Nothobranchius furzeri: one gene and its partners. The protein of the gene in region 1 purifies or fractionates together with the protein of each later gene. This does not show direct contact. Links are inferred from orthologs where the notes say so. Each region holds a gene or a part of one and is shown on either strand. Other genes may lie near its edges. The genes, in order: cdyl, ehmt2 and mier1b.

Evidence for each region.
Region 2: the proteins of cdyl (region 1) and ehmt2 purify together in Homo sapiens (affinity purification with mass spectrometry; 4 studies listed by BioGRID and IntAct, with this or other methods). This does not show direct contact. The link is inferred for Nothobranchius furzeri from reciprocal best matches to the Homo sapiens genes CDYL and EHMT2.
Region 3: the proteins of cdyl (region 1) and mier1b purify together in Homo sapiens (co-immunoprecipitation; 3 studies listed by BioGRID and IntAct, counting the BioPlex papers as one, with this or other methods). This does not show direct contact. The link is inferred for Nothobranchius furzeri from reciprocal best matches to the Homo sapiens genes CDYL and MIER1.

The regions. Positions count from the first base shown.
Region 1 is NC_091751.1:33,809,626-33,814,191, forward strand, and holds the end of cdyl (chromodomain Y-like protein), read left to right. Parts: intron 1-1,968; coding exon 1,969-2,222; intron 2,223-2,373; coding exon 2,374-2,546; intron 2,547-2,618; coding exon 2,619-2,829; intron 2,830-2,899; coding exon 2,900-3,043; intron 3,044-3,120; coding exon 3,121-3,279; 3' UTR 3,280-3,466; downstream 3,467-4,566. Other genes in the region: rpp40 (ribonuclease P protein subunit p40), read right to left, coding at 4,249-4,447, 4,517-4,566.
Region 2 is NC_091759.1:8,508,650-8,514,539, forward strand, and holds the start of ehmt2 (histone-lysine N-methyltransferase EHMT2), read left to right. Parts: upstream 1-2,015; 5' UTR 2,016-2,087; coding exon 2,088-2,114; intron 2,115-4,544; coding exon 4,545-4,626; intron 4,627-4,726; coding exon 4,727-4,870; intron 4,871-5,030; coding exon 5,031-5,326; intron 5,327-5,412; coding exon 5,413-5,479; intron 5,480-5,890. Other genes in the region: zinc finger and BTB domain-containing protein 12, read right to left, coding at 1-22, 98-306, 1,722-1,734. UniProt on the Homo sapiens protein: Histone methyltransferase that specifically mono- and dimethylates 'Lys-9' of histone H3 (H3K9me1 and H3K9me2, respectively) in euchromatin.
Region 3 is NC_091751.1:68,470,075-68,475,215, forward strand, and holds the end of mier1b (mesoderm induction early response protein 1b), read left to right. Parts: intron 1-1,652; coding exon 1,653-1,780; intron 1,781-2,065; coding exon 2,066-2,193; intron 2,194-2,417; coding exon 2,418-2,704; 3' UTR 2,705-3,897; coding exon of another isoform or gene 3,898-3,928; 3' UTR 3,929-3,995; downstream 3,996-5,141. Other genes in the region: nucleotide sugar transporter SLC35D2, read right to left, coding at 3,898-3,928, 3,996-4,058. UniProt on the Homo sapiens protein: Transcriptional repressor regulating the expression of a number of genes including SP1 target genes. Probably functions through recruitment of HDAC1 a histone deacetylase involved in chromatin silencing.

The DNA of each region.
Region 1 (4,566 bases):
CCAAACTTTAAATTCATGTTTATGGGATGGATTTAAATTCTTACCTCTTAAGTTTCTTTCATAGTTTTAGTCAAACAAGCTCATTTATTTTGAGGGTGGGAGGAGGGAGAAACAAAGGGGATCTCTTTTGTGAATCTGTGTGGGAGGGGTGGGAAACCGACTGCTGTCTGGTTGTTTTTAATATTGTAAAGCGCTTTGAGCTGCATTTGCATGAAAAGCGCTTACCAGGTTAAGCTGTAACTGCTGTCTCAGCCACAAGTTCTCAGACTCTGAGGTGAGGACGTGCAGACAGGAGGATGGAAACTAACCCCTTCTTTCCACCGGATGAGAAACGTACTACACGGTAACTAGTAGCCAATGAAGTGAGTGGGTTCCTTCACCAGCAGCCACAGGTGGCTTTGTGGACATGTCCCAGAAGGAATGTATGCCATTGTTACGTTTCAAGTCTATATTTTACACGCTGTGCTTTCAAACACGGCAAACTCCACAGTTCAGATCGAGCCAGACAGGAAGTCAAACACAAAAGCAGCGTAAAACATCTGGAAACTTTCAAAATAAAAGTAACATCCAGTACGTTCATTCCTGTGAAACCCCGTAGCCGGTGCAAACGGAAGAGGCCTTTTTGGAGACATGCAGTCGTCTTTCTCCGAGCGTTTTATTGTGTGGATGTATGAAATAACGCGCAGTGTTGCAGTTCTCCCATTATGTTTTGACCTCACGGGATCAGCTGTGTGGAACGCTTTCGCTCCTGCTTCACATCAGAATCGTTTCCGGTTGGGAATGAGCTTGCAGGGAAAACGCAGCTTTTACATTTCTCCACGTTTCTGTGGCCGGTGGAAAGCCGGGTAAGTTCATCATCAGGCCTCTCTTCCCTCTGAAGCTCGTCTCTGATCTGGAGCCCGCCTCCCCAGGAAGTAGGTCACTAACAGCCACTTCCTCCTGGCTGCAGGCCTAGAGCAGTTGGTTTCATGCTGCAGATAAGAACACGACCTTCAGGTCACAGATGTCTGCTCTAGTCCTCCACTCGCACTAGAGTGGAGATTCTGACTGATTACTTCTGCGTTGGGACAAAACACAAGAGTCCTGTCCACAGACACGCGTAATGGCCAGCTCGGGATAGGTGTGTTGGGACAGGTGTGGTGGGTAAAGCCTGGTTTATGCTTCTCCGCCTGCGTCAGTGCGGAGACACGCAACGTCCTTGCGTAGGGCTCCGGCAGGCACGCAAGTACGTACGGAGTCGAGCCCACTTTTTTAAACATCTGTCGAACGAGACGGATTACGCAAGCTTGTGATTGGTCAGGACGCAGCTGTTGTTTACAGCGCCGCCATTGCAAAGAGAGCCGAGGATAACTAGCGGCAGACACGGAGAAGCTTGAAGAATACCTCGCGAAAAAACTCTAAAAATATGAACGTTTCATCTTCCCGTGACTGGAGGAGTGAAAAGATGTGCAGCAAGCATTTTATTTGTGGACGGAAATGACAGGAAACGTGGGTTTAGAGGTGGGGAGCGCATGAAGCGGTGGGAGAATGAGAGACAAATATGTCCATGTTAAAAGTGTCTTATATACACAAAAAACACAATACAAACACACTATCTTGGACCGATACATGACAGGATACCACAGAACAGCGCTACGCCCTCTGCTGTCCTGCCGGGCAATTGCTTTGCAACACTCTCCAGGAGACGGAGAAGTAAAAGAGCAAAATGCTTCCGTCAATCTGTGCGTGTCTGTCCATTGCGGAGCTGACGGAGAAGCATAAACCAGGCTTTAGTGTATGGTGCACCTACCTGTATGACACCGGTTTGAATCCCAGTCTCAGCAGCACCTTTGGCCTGACATTCCGTTTTAGAGATTTGAAGCCTTTATTGGTTAAGTGTCAAATAAAAGGACTCATCTGGTTTCTACTACTTTTGTTTATGTAGCTAGTTAATGAGTCAGTAAGAAATGACAAAGTCTTTCTCTCCAGGACATGCTGGACCTACAGAGGCTTTTGCCCCCAGTGGGATGTCATCTGGTTCCAGTGCTGTTACCGGGATAACCAGCGTGATGGGGAAGCGGCGCCTGGAGGAACGCTCCACCTTCGATAAACGTCTGAGGTTCAGCGTCCGTCAGACAGAGAGCGCCTACCGCTACCGTGACATTGTGGTGAAGAAGCAGGATGGCTTCACTCATATCCTGTTGTCCACCAAGAGCTCTGAGAACAACACGCTCAATCCTGAGGTAAGGCCACAACCACAATGCCATGGTGGTCAGAGGGTGAGTAGATTCACTTAGACCACACCCACAAAAATCTATCAGCCAATTCAGGGTACATGGCCTCCTCTTGACCACACCCGCAACGTGCTTAGAACTGTTGGACTGGTTATTTCAGGTGATGAAGGAGATCCAGAGCGCCATGGCGACAGCGGCGTCTGATGACAGTAAACTGGTTCTGCTCGGTGCAGTTGGCAGTGTCTTCTGCTGTGGCCTTGACTTCCTGTCCTTCATCAGACGGCTGACAGACGACAGGAAGAAGGAGAGCATCAGGATGGCTGAAACCATCAGGTGACTCCAGGGAGATGCTGAGTGATGTCCTCCTCACCTTGTCCCTGTCTCACATCCTGTCCTTATCTTCAGGACCTTCGTAAATACCTTCATCCAGTTCAGGAAGCCCATCGTGGCAGCAGTGAACGGGCCGGCGCTCGGTCTCGGTGCTGCCCTCCTGCCACTCTGTGATGTAGTGTGGGCCAATGAGAAGGCCTGGTTCCAGACGCCGTACACGTCCTACGGACAGACACCAGACGCCTGCGCGTCCTTCACCTTCCCTCGTGTCATGGGTCTCGCAGCGGTGAGTCTCCTCCTCACTGTTCCTCTGACTTTTTCTCCTCGCCCTTACTCTACCTCTGACCCCTCCCCAGGCCAGTGAGCTGCTGCTGGGTGGCAGGAAGCTGACGGCCATGGAGGCGTGCTCTAAAGGTCTGGTGTCCCAGGTTCTGTGGCCCGGAACCTTCACACAGGAAGTGATGCTGCGGGTCAAAGAGCTGGTGGCTGTCAACACGCAGGTTTGTCTCCCCCCCCCCCCCCCCCCCCCACACACACACACACACACACACACACTAAGCTGATTCTGGTTCTGCAGGTCCTACAGGAATCCAAAGGCCTGATGAGGAGTGCCAGCCGTAGTGCCCTGGAGCAAGCCAATGAGCGTGAGTGTGAAGCTCTGAAGAGAGTGTGGGGATCCTCACAGGGAACCGACTCCATCCTGCAGCATCTGCAGAGAAGAGCCGATCTCTTCTAGAACCAGGACCAGTCCTGTTTTCCGTTTCAGGACGTGGACATGTCTCGTCTCACTCGGTTATTTATTGTTATTCAGGATATAGACACATCCCGGGTTCCTCAGGCCCCACAGCAGACTTGAGTTCCACCTTTCCATCCTGGTTCTCTACAGAACATGCAGGTTCATGTTGTCTTGCTGGGCCGTTGCTGCTTGGGTCAAGTTCTCCAAGTGCTTCAGGTTGATGGCTAAACCGGGCCTCGGGTCGCTGCTGGTCCAGAGGAGAGTCATGCTCTAGCAGTGATGAATTCTGGGTAAGGGTATCTTCCTTAGGTTGAGATCATGTGACTCTGTACTGCAGTGCTGGTCTCCTGGCAGCAGGTGTGGCTTGGTTCTGCCGGTACCAGTCCGTTCAGCTGATTTGTTGCTGTGCTGAGCAGTCTAAAGAAGTTCTGCTCAGATGGAGCAGAGCCGTTCTGACAGCAGAACTTCTACATGTAATAGAGAATAAAGTCCAACAGAACTTTTCCCTGTTCTGGAAAAAAAACGACTGTTTTATTCACTAATCACACATGAGCCACGTTACCAAGGTAACACCACATGTCCACGAGCCACGTTACCAAGGTAACACCACACTTCCACGTGAACCACATTACCACGGTAACACCACACTTCCACGTGAACCACATTACCACGGTAACACCACATGTCCACGTTACCACGGTAACGCATCACTGGGATCACGACAGGAAGCTGTTGTTAAATTGTTGTTTTATTTTCAGGTTTACTCATAAATCGGGAGACAAACATTCTGCTCTGAGGTCAAAGGTTACAATCCAAAGAAAAACTCAGGTAAAGGTTAAAGGTCGCTCCAGGGAGCTATGCAGAAAGAAACCATGCAGCACTGTTGACCCATTTCCTGTCTTGGGGCAGATTTTTTCTATGACAACAGTAATTCATCTTGGTGAGAGGGTATGTGACCCAGAGGTCACCTCATGGTGGACAAGTGTCATATGCTCCTGTGGCCAGGTGGAGGTGGTAGGTGTGGTCAGGGAACATCAGCAAGTTGTAGAAGTTCTCCCCTCCACTCAGAACCCCGTGCTCGTTGTCCCCCCATGATACTGGACTATCGATGAAACCGTGAACCGTCAGTGAAGCCCAGGACTCCAGCTGAGTTTGCTGCAGGTGACACCTGAAGCACAGGTGAGTTATTTTGTCGTCAGCTGTTCAGGTAAAGGTGTGCTTGTGTGAGAGAGCTAACCTGAGCTCCTGGATCAGTCGCTGCACATCGTGTGGCAACAGCAGGCCACA
Region 2 (5,890 bases), on another chromosome or scaffold:
AGGAGCTGTATAGCATCGAGACCTGGATTAAAGAGGAACATAAAAACACATTTTTAATTTGCAAAAGAGAGTTTAACATGTACCTATATGTACCCACGTGGAGCCTGCGTGACGGGTTCAGGAGGAACTGATCCCTCAGGAAGGGCGAACAGGCAGCGAGCACCACCTTATGTCCTTTGAATGTCTGATTGTTGCTGGCCACGATGGTGATGTCACAGAAATGTTGGCGAGACCTGAGTAAGTTCATGTGCTTCAGGGTCACGTCCCCGTGTCCGGGCAACCGGAACAACACCATCTCCATCTTTTCTAAAAGGCGAAACAACAGAAATGTTTCTAGACTCTTGTAACAAACTAGCAAAAATAAACACAAAAGCGCAGTTTTCAAAGGGTGAGGTTAAAGGGGAAAGAGCTTTTCTAAACAAGACTTACAGTAGGTTTTAGTAGGATTTCACATGAAGATCCTAAAAACCACACATCGTTCCTAGTTCAAGAACAAAACATCCGCTTGTCTCGCATCCTGATATCCAACAAAACTTTTGGGGGAATATTTTGTGAGATTAAGAAACAAAAAGAGGACAATTTCTGCAAAATGTCTGAAAACTGGTGTTAAAAACAAACGCTTCACCATAAGGACAAACACGGTGGTGGTAGTGTGATGGTCTGGCACCGCCTCAGGATCTGGATAATTTAAACCCAGGAATTCTGCTCTCTACCAGTAAAGCCATAAAGAACATAGCTGACCATTGACCTGAAACAGGTCGTTCGTGATGGAAAATCCTCCACATGTGGCTGAAATGAAACTATTCTGTAAAGAAGAGGGTCAAAGTTCCTTTAAAGTGATGCAAGAGACTCAGTATACAAATGCTTGACTGCAATGGCAAAGGGTGGGCAGGGGTCAGTTACTTTTCCCATATGAGGACCAGTTTGTTTTGGATCACTTTATTTCTCTTTAACAAATTAGATCAACATTTAAAACTGTTACTCAGCTTATCATTTTCCAACATAAACAATTAAAAGCACTAAGAATATGTATAGAAGAAAAAAACATTTACTGTACTCTAATGTTATAAAGCATAAAAACAACAGGTATCAAGTAGTTATAATTTTTTTAACATAAAACAATAGTTTTCCTTACACAGTGTTAATGCTAATTAAATTTTGAACAGGTGTTTGTGAAACTGTTTATTACACTGCTATTTATCACAAACACTTCCTGACTATAGATACATTTGATACCTACATAAAGAAACTTAAATAGAAATGTTATGGCCATACCAGAGAGCTAGCTAGTGCTGTTTTCATTCAGGAAAAGTAAAGTAACATTACTTCTTTCAGCAACAGATTACTTTATTGTCCAACATATTACAGCTCTGTAATCCAGCGATGATGGTATCTTCTCTCACAGCTGTGACCATAAGTGGAAGGTGAAAAAGTAGCCTCCCTTCCATGACTGGGCGTTTAAAAAGGCCGAAAAAAACACACATGAATGGTTTAACTTGTCATATATTTTATAACCTTTTGTTGACTAGCGTTATTATACTAACTGGCTTAGATAGATGAAAATTTTGAAATCCTTTGTTTTAGCCCAGCTAGCTGAACCAACTGAGCGTTAGCTCCTGTTAGCTACTATAAAACAGATGGCTATATTTATCCACTATTGTATCATCTGGAAACCAGGTGCCGAAACTCCACAATTATCCTCAAACTTCGCCGAAACTCACCTTGGTCGTTCATCTTTTCCCGCGAATTCCGGGTTTATTTCAGCAGCACGGCCGTTAAAATACGCTAACTGACCAACACATTCGACACATTTCTCAGCCACAACCTCGATTTCTGTTTACTTTTGGGCCCTTTTTTTTTAGCAGGAAGTACTTCTCGTGACAACAAACTACAAACCGCTAGCGGTTCGCCACTAAACTGACTTTGAATCGGTTTACGTCTTGGACCCACTCCCTCAGAAAACCGTAAATTTAGAGCACGCCAGCTGATTTCTGATCAGCGATTTAAAATCAATGGACTCCGAAAGGGGCGGAACTCGAATTGTGACGTAGCACGTTCAAAAATGTGCCTTACGTTCATTGGGAAACATGTCGGCATCCCAGACAACGACAAAGGTAGCAAACGTACTGGAACTCAAAGGGCTTGTTATTGAAATATTGCTCATTTATTATCTTGTAGATGCATCGTGTTATTTAGCAAATCTGTGCTAATGATACTGTCATTTGCAACAAGCATACGTTTGTACTTGTCGGGTTTTATACCTTTTTTATTACAAGCTAATGCTAGCCAATGTTAGCCTTTTTAGTGTTATGTTAACTAAATTAACGAGTAGTTATGGTGCTTTTTTATGGTCGTTTGACTTCTTACATAATCTGCAAATTATTTTCTTGAGGTGCAATGTTACTTTAAAAAGCGAATGAAAGTCTATTTTAGGAAGCTAGCTAGCTGTTTTGTTGTATCATTTAAATAATAACTTGGTTTTAAGCTAGTTTATTAATCCTTGTAGTGTATGGACTACTTTTTATGCTAGAACGTTATTTTAAATCATGTAGATTTCCAGAAAGTTTGCTGTAAATTACATCTTGTTAGCTGTTTATAGTTTATTTGTATTTTCAAATCAATAATAATAGTTTATTAAACCTCCTGTGTTATTCATTTGAATGGGCTCTAATTATTAGGCTTAGTTAGAGTTGGATATGTGGCATTTACCTGGAATTAAGATCACAATCAATCAAGAAATCACTTAAATATGAGCTGCCTGACACAGAGAAGTAGACCAAAAGCACCTCAAAAGGTAGACATCATGCCAAGATCCAAAGAAATTCAAGAACAAATGAGAACAAAAGTTATTGAGATCTATCAGTCTGGTAAAGGTTATAAAGCCATTTCTAAAGCTTTGGGACTCCAGCGAACCACAGTGAGAGCCATTATCCACAAATGGCAACAACATGGAACAGTGGTGAACCTAACCAGGAGCGGGCGGCCGACCAAAATTACCCCAAGAGTGCAGAGACAACTCATCCGAGAGGTCACAAAAGACCCGAGGACAACTTCTAATGAACTGCAGGCCTCACTTGCCTCAGTTAAGGTCAGTGTTCACGACTCCACCATAAGAAAGAGACTGGGCAAAAATGGCCTGCATGGCAGATTTCCAAGATGCAAACCACTGTTAAGCAAAAAGAACATTAGGGCTCGTCTCAATTTTGCTAAGAAACATCTCAATGATTGTCAAGACTTTTGGGAAAATACCTCGTGGACTGATGAGACAAAAGTTGAACTTTTTGGAAGGCAAATGTCCCGTTACATCTGGCGTAGAAGTAACAGCATTTCAGACAAAGAACATTATACCAACAGTAAAATATGGCGGTGGTAGTGTGATGGTCTGGGATTGTTTTGCTGCTTCAGGAACTGGAAGGCTTGCTGTGATAAATGGAACCATGAATTCTACTGTCTACCAAAACATCCTGAAGGAGAATGTCCGGCCATCTGTTCGTCAACTAAAGCTGAAGCGATCTTGGGTGCTGCAGCAGGACAATGACCCAAAACACATCAGCAAATCCACCTCTGAATGGCTGAAGAACAACAAAATGAAGACTTTGGAGTGGCCTAGTCAAAGTCATGACCTGAATCCTATTGAGATGCTATGGCATGACCTTAAAAAGGCAGTTCATGCTAGAAAACCCTCAAATAAAGCTGAATTACAACAATTCTGCAAAGATGAGTGGGCCAAAATTCATCCAGAGCGCTGTAAAAGACTCGTAGCAAGTTATCGCAAACGCCTGATTGCTATTGTTATTGCTGCTAAGGGAGGCCCAACCAGTTATTAGGCTCAGGGGGCAATTACTTTTTCACACAGGGCAATGTAGGTTTGGATTTTATTCTCTCCCTTAATAATAAAAAACCATCATTTCAAAACTGCATTTTGTGTTTACTTGTGTTATCTTTGACTAATGGTTAAATGTGTTTGATGATCAGAAACATTTTGTGTGACAAACACGCAAAAGAATAAGAAATCAGGAAGGGGGCAAATAGTTTTTCACACCACTGTATGTTCAAGAATCAACATCTAAACATGGTCTCCTGTAGTAAAGAAGTGGTCAACAAGAATGTATGTGCTTATGAGGCATTCATACTGACAAAAAGACAAATACATAGAAATCCCAGACTGGTTCTTTCTGTTTGACGTGTTTATTTTCTGAAATTGGAGCTTTTTTTTTAACTGTTTTTGTTTATTTTAAAGCCACAAATAGCTTCCAGCAATGCTGATGGGTGGTTTAGTTTCAAGAGCTTTAAATCTACGTAATGCAATTGGAATGTAAAAAAAAAAAAAAAAGCAATTACTGGTGAAAACAAATAAGACGAATAAGGAAGGTGTTTTTCCACTAAATTATTTTAGTCGGCCGAAATAATTGCAGTTTTTAAAGGAATTGTTAGGAAGCAAAATCTGTTTTAGAGGTAGCTCAAAGTTTGACAGGATGAAATACTAGAGATAAATAGTTTTAATCTTTATAAATCGAAGTACACACGTTTTTCTTCACTTCCAGGATTTTCTTGAAGAAGATGAGACAAAAACACTAACCGAGTCAACGGCAGGTTCAGGGGAGGTAAAAGAAGCTGCTGATGAAGGTACAATTTATTTCATTTAATTACAAATGTAATTCATTAATGTGTCTCTTTGTGTTTCACTTCCTGTCACTAAAAATAACTTGTTTTGAATGTTTTTTAGATGATGCTGCCAGCATTACAGATCCAGTGGATGGTGTGTCGTTGGAGTTGATGACCAGTCATCCTGAGAAGGAGACTTCCAGCGCTGCTGAGGATGGAAGTCAGCGCTCTCCTGCTTCCTCCCCACCTAACAAACCTGCTGCAGGTGAAACTCAAAACCAGTCTTTGACTAAGCTCCTGACTTAATCAGGTTCTGAAGAGAATTATTAAAATTTGACTGTTTTTTTAACGTAGTGATCGCTTAGTTTAATCTTTAGTAACATGTTTTTTCATCTTCAGTAACAGTTTGTATCTCTTCTTAACAGGTCACGCAGCAAAGTCCATTTCCTCAATGTCATCTTATCCTTCCACCTCTTCATTTTTTTCCCCTGGTCGGGCAAAGATGAGCGTTTCCGGGCCGTCTTCTTGTAAATCCGTCCTCCCACCTGGCCCTTCCTCCTCTTCCTCTTCTTCATCCTCCTCCTCCTCCTCCTCCTCCTCCTCTTCTTCCTCCTCCTCTTCCTCTTCATCTGGCTCAGCTTCGTTGACACCTTCTGTCTCCCCGAGTCCACACAAGATCCACCGGGCCCGTAAGACCATGAACAGGCCTTCACCCGGCCAAGTAATGACTTCTGTTACACATTTTTATTCCCACAATTGTTTGTTGTTTTACTTTTTCTGAAAGGTTAGCATTTTTTTATTCGACAGGTGAGTTACGCTGAGACTCCTGCTACGTCGGGTTCCTCCACCTGCTTCTCTACTGACTCTGAAACAGGTAAGTTCTAAACTTCGATCATATTTACTCCTCCGATTGTTCTCCAGCACTCGTAATTACAGGTCCTCTTCTACTGTGTGGTTTTTAAATTAATTCAATGTACGCCGATCACTTCAGCTGGTTTTTGGATTGTTCGTACCGACCTGCAGCTTTTGGTTGAATCAGAAAACTAGTTTTCATGCAGAAGTCTCAGTTGGCACCACTCTGCTCAGGTGTTGCATGGCAGAATGAGCCAATCTTTGCCTCCTGATTCGGCTATATCTCTTAAACACATCGTTGCAACACCAACATGTCTTTTAAAACTCAGAAAATGCTCCTGAAATCTTGTTTTCCATGTAAGTTTGACTGTTTAAAAAACTAAAAAGGCTTTTTTTTCTCTTATAACTGTCACGCTTTGTGTTGTTTTTCTGT
Region 3 (5,141 bases), about 35 Mb from region 1:
TCGTAGACTGAATATCACTGACGCACACAACAATGCACAGTGCTAGTGGCTACTAAAACGTAATAAAAACAGAAACAAGTTGCCTTGCTTGGACTGATGCAGGATTTAGGAAACACGTCCGCCTCTTTTCTTAACTTGGAAAAAATAACTTCCAGACAACAACGGAGTCCGTGTCGCGGACATTTTTCAGAGATCGTCTCTGCTGCGGCTGCCCGGTGGCACCGGAAACTTTACAAAAGTTGCGGTAAGCTATATTTTTAACATTTATGTAACATCTGTGCAGCGCTGAAAGCACCAGACAGAATAATTCTGTGCTCTAACAGTAGTTTATGAAAGTAGTCGGACAAACGAGAGGCACCTGGCTGCCGCTGGGAGAACGCTCCGTGTTCTCACTACTCTAAACAATCACAAACAACGTGTCTTTAAGTTGAAAACAGAAGTTTCAGTTAAAACAGAAACACTCTGAAACTTTTCTGATGATTTTCTAAACAATTCTGTCGGGGAATTCTATGTTTCTGAGACGAGTCTCTGTCTAAACATCACATGCATTACTATCATTAAGCAGCGAGGTGTGTTGAAGCTGTCATCAGCTAAGGGGCGGATGCTTAAGTGCATCAGGGGCAGCGAGGAACGAGGAAGTTGTGTTCAGGCTGGAGATCACACCAGATTCGCTGCTGCTGGCGGGAATCTGCGGGTCTGCAGCATCCCCTTCTTAACGTGACATCAGGACTTCCCATGTAAGGAAGGTCCGCTCACCTGTTCGTCAGATCATTATTTCATCGCCATGATCTTTTATCTTCCCATCCACCTCCAGTCATCCAACTGGAACCAGTTAGTGTTCCTGATCATTCGCAGAATATGCCATGCCTGCTCTGGTGTTAAAAGTTAGCTCATTTAAGTCCTAGATCATATCTGTGCCTGCTCTACTGTCATTTTGAAGGATTATTATTTATGTGTTTTTACTACATTATGAGTAGAAATGCTAATAAAATCTCCCAATTATACAAACAAGTAAAACTGGAAAAATTAGAATCTGGTGCAGTCAAATTTATTTCAGTCATTCAACTAGACAGAGAGACTATTTAAAGTCTCAGGAACCCTTTGCAGGTCTTTTCTATTTGTAATTATAAATTTTAGTTTATTTGGGTTTTGTTTCATATCACACAGTGACATTTGAATAATTAAAATGCATTTTTTATTAAAAGCTTTAGTTTACAGTAATAACCATGTCTAATGTTTGATTCTCTATCTCATAATTTTAATTAAAAGTTTTACTTTGAGAGCACATTTTCCTGAACGATTAAAATGCGATTAATTGAGATTAATTAATTACAAAGCCTGTAATTAATTAGATTAAAATTTTTAATCAAGTCCCAGCCCTAATATATATATATATATATATATATATATATATATATTTATATATATATCCACACAGTGCAGCCGGATGGTTGTGTCTCTTAGGACTCAAGGCATTCATTCACCAGAGAGCACAGCAGATTTATTGAAATGATGAGTGAACGAGACCTTTAAACATCTGTAGTTGTAAAAGTCATCATTTGTTTTGTGTCTGATTTGAATTTTGTCTAACTTTCCTCTGGAAATGACTGTAATAATGGTCATTTTTATGTGTGCTGAATTAAATCTTTCAGGTGAGAACTAGGTCTGTAGGAGAATGTGTGGCCTTTTATTACATGTGGAAGAAGTCTGAGCGTTATGATTTCTTTGCACAGCAAACCAGACTCGGAAAACGGAAATACAACCTTCATCCTGGTGTCACGTAAGTCCTCTGTCCTAGAGCCAAACGTTCGCCCTAACCGCGCGCGGGGGGGGGGGGGTGGGGGGGGGGGCAGTGTGTTACATTTCCAACATCTCTTGAACGCAGCTTTATTTGTAGTTGTTAAACTGTTTTCTGTCCGGTGAATCGTAATTAAATACAGGCCGGATTTTTCTGAATCTGTTTGGAAATGGTTCTGTGGAAGGGATCACACACACCTTTCTCTAAAGAACTGGCCTGATGTGTGTGAGTGTGTGTGTGTAAGCAGTGTGCACTGCTCTGTTTCAGAGATTACATGGACAGACTATTGGATGAGTCGGAGAGCGCCACCTCCAGCAGGGCGGCGTCTCCTCCTCCCACCACCTCCAGTAGCAGCACCAGTCAGTCAGAGAGGGAGGACAGCAGCAGTCAGAACGGTGAGCAGACCACACAAAACATCACGATGGTTATAATTCACGGGGCTTTGTTGTCTCAGAGCACATTTACATCACACACAAGTTCCAATCATGGAAACGCGACTATTATAAGATAAAAGCCTTACTGTCACCAACCGTGGAATCACCAGGTCACTATTGGTGTTTCTTCGGTTGACCTGCGACCTTTTTGTTGTTATTGACCAATAATCTTGTTTCTTTGACAGGTGTTGTAGGTCACCCAGTGGAGGGTGCTCCAGTGCTCCCAGCAAACCCAGTCAAACCAGAGAGAGTTCAGTCCAATGGCTCCTCTCATCCAGCAGAAGCTCCTCCGTCCCTTCCAGACAACAACTCCAACGGCTGTAGCCACGACAGAAACGGTTCCCTGGAGCCGCCGCTCGACCATACCAACACGCCAGCCGCGGCGCCTGACAGGCCTGCCAAGAGGTGCAGGACGGAGGCAGAACCTTTGGAGCAAAGCGAGGCAGACCCATCCAGAACACACGAGGACTGAAGGCTCCAAGACTCAGTGAGACTCTTGACTGGGTCGTGTAGCGGAGGATGAACCTCGTGAGCTCTCTGATCGTAGGAGGTCCAAAGGGTACTGAAACCACAGCTGGAGGAAAGCAGCCAACCAAACCCCACCCCCTCCCAAAGTCACGTCTCACTAAAGATCTACATTTCTCCAGAACAGCTGTTGGCGCAGCAAAATTTTAGCGAAGAATATTTCTTTCATTTTCTACTAAAATAAAAGCGTGATATTTTTTTACATGAGATATTTATATTTTTTAACCAAAAGGACAAATCTAAGGATGGATTGCGGGTGCCGGATCCGTGGAGGGCTTGAAGGGTGGGCACAGCTGTAGTTGCACTTTTTGTAGGTTTCTGTGATGAGGATTGACTCCAGCAGAGTCCGCTCACTCCTCCCGTCTCAGCTGTTTGGTGGTGGTAAATAAACCGTGGGGAGGAGTCGCCCCCTGCTGGTTTGTTTGTGAAAAGCAGCTGGCATCAGTGATGTCCTGTATTATAACTCAACACGTAGATGTTTGTATTTTCCTAGTCCACGCTTTGCTCAACACTTTGTTTGTACTAGACCGAAAGTTTGTGACTCTACACGTAACGTTTGTATAGATTTCTTACCTTGGAACAGTTTTACTTTCTCCTCGGAGAAAATCTTCATCTCCGTATTTTCTCGTCTTCCTCGTAGGCCTTGCTTCAGAGAGGTGAAACTTAAGAGCTGAATGTAAAATAAAATGATCCATTCCTCTGGTTTTGGTAGTACCGCTGCTGCGTGTGGAGGTCTGCTGCAGAAACGCCACTCCCTTTCAGTTTACAGTCAAATTCTTCTGGCCCGTTTGAGCGAGAAGCTTCAGCCGACAGACGCGGAAGACGACCTGTCCCCGTTTAATTTGTACTCTGCTTTGGATTTGTTTGCTTCACGTAGCCTTTTCTGATTTAAATGTGTGTTTTTCCTGCATAAATGACAAAACTTCCAAGAATTTAACGTTCATGGAATAACTTTGTATTTAATAAATGTACTGATGAATGTGAGTCGTTTTAAGGTCCAAACAGGAAGAGACACACACACACAGTAGGAGATAAAATATTACATTTATTATATAAAAATTTACAAAAGGCTGATATTGTTTCATTAAAAATTCTTGGTTGATTTAAAACAGAAAAAGAGCACGTGGTGGTTCTTCAGCATCATGACGCTACTCCAAGACTTACAACTTTTCTGTTCAGGAAGAGACGAAATGTTAAAAGCTGAATTAGAGATTCTAATAAAGGATTCTGGCTCCTACCTACTCTGACGTGTGTGTTCCTGTGTGAAGGTGATGTAGGAGTAAACCAGACTACCAGCGATGCTGAAAGAAACCAATAACATGAGGTCACCATAGTTCATTCACACCAGGCACGATGGCTTCTGCCTGTATTTGCACCAGTGTTCATCTTGGTGAGCAAATAAATCTCTTCTTTCCTTTAGTTTTCTCTCGGAGTGGCACTAACAGGATTCCATATTTTATAATAAGATACAGGGATGTGCATTTTTGAAATTCTGGCGATACGATACATATCACAATACAGGGGAGATGATACGATATATTGAGATACATTCAGTCAGACGTTATAAGCAGTTTTTTTTACTGAATATATTGTAAGAATGTTCAATAAACAGTCCAAACTGATACGTAACATGTTTAACATGAGGTATTTGAACATAATGGAGGGATTTACATTTCAATGGTGGAAACAAAACCTATTGCACACTGCTGCCAACTAGCGGGCGGCGATTGAATTGCACAAAATGAAAAGAAAATACACAAATGTTTGCATGTAAATTCTTTCAAGTATTAGACACACGGCTTTTGAGTATCGATGTAATAATCACAGGAAAAACTATCAAGATATATTGCCATATCGATATTTCGGACACACGGCATTTGAATATCGATATAATATTGCTGGAAAAAATATCACGATATATTGCCATATCGATATTTCCGATACACGGCTTTTGAATATCGATATAATATTGCTGGAAATAATATCACGATATATTGACATATCGATATTTCCGATACACAGCTTTTGAATATCGATATAATATTGCTGGGGAAAAATCACGATATATTGCCATATCAATATTTCTGATACATGGCTTTTGAATATCGATATAATATTGCTGGAAAAAATATCATGATATATTGCCATATCAATATTTCCGATACACAGCTTTTGAATATCGATATAATATTGCTGGGGAAAAATCACGATATATTGCCATATCAATATTTCTGATACATGGCTTTTGAATATCTATATAATATTGCCGGAAACACTATCACGATATATTGCCATATCGATATTTCCGAAACACGGCTTTTGAAAATCAATATAATATTGCTGGAAAAAAAATCACGATATATTGCCATATCAATATTTCTGAT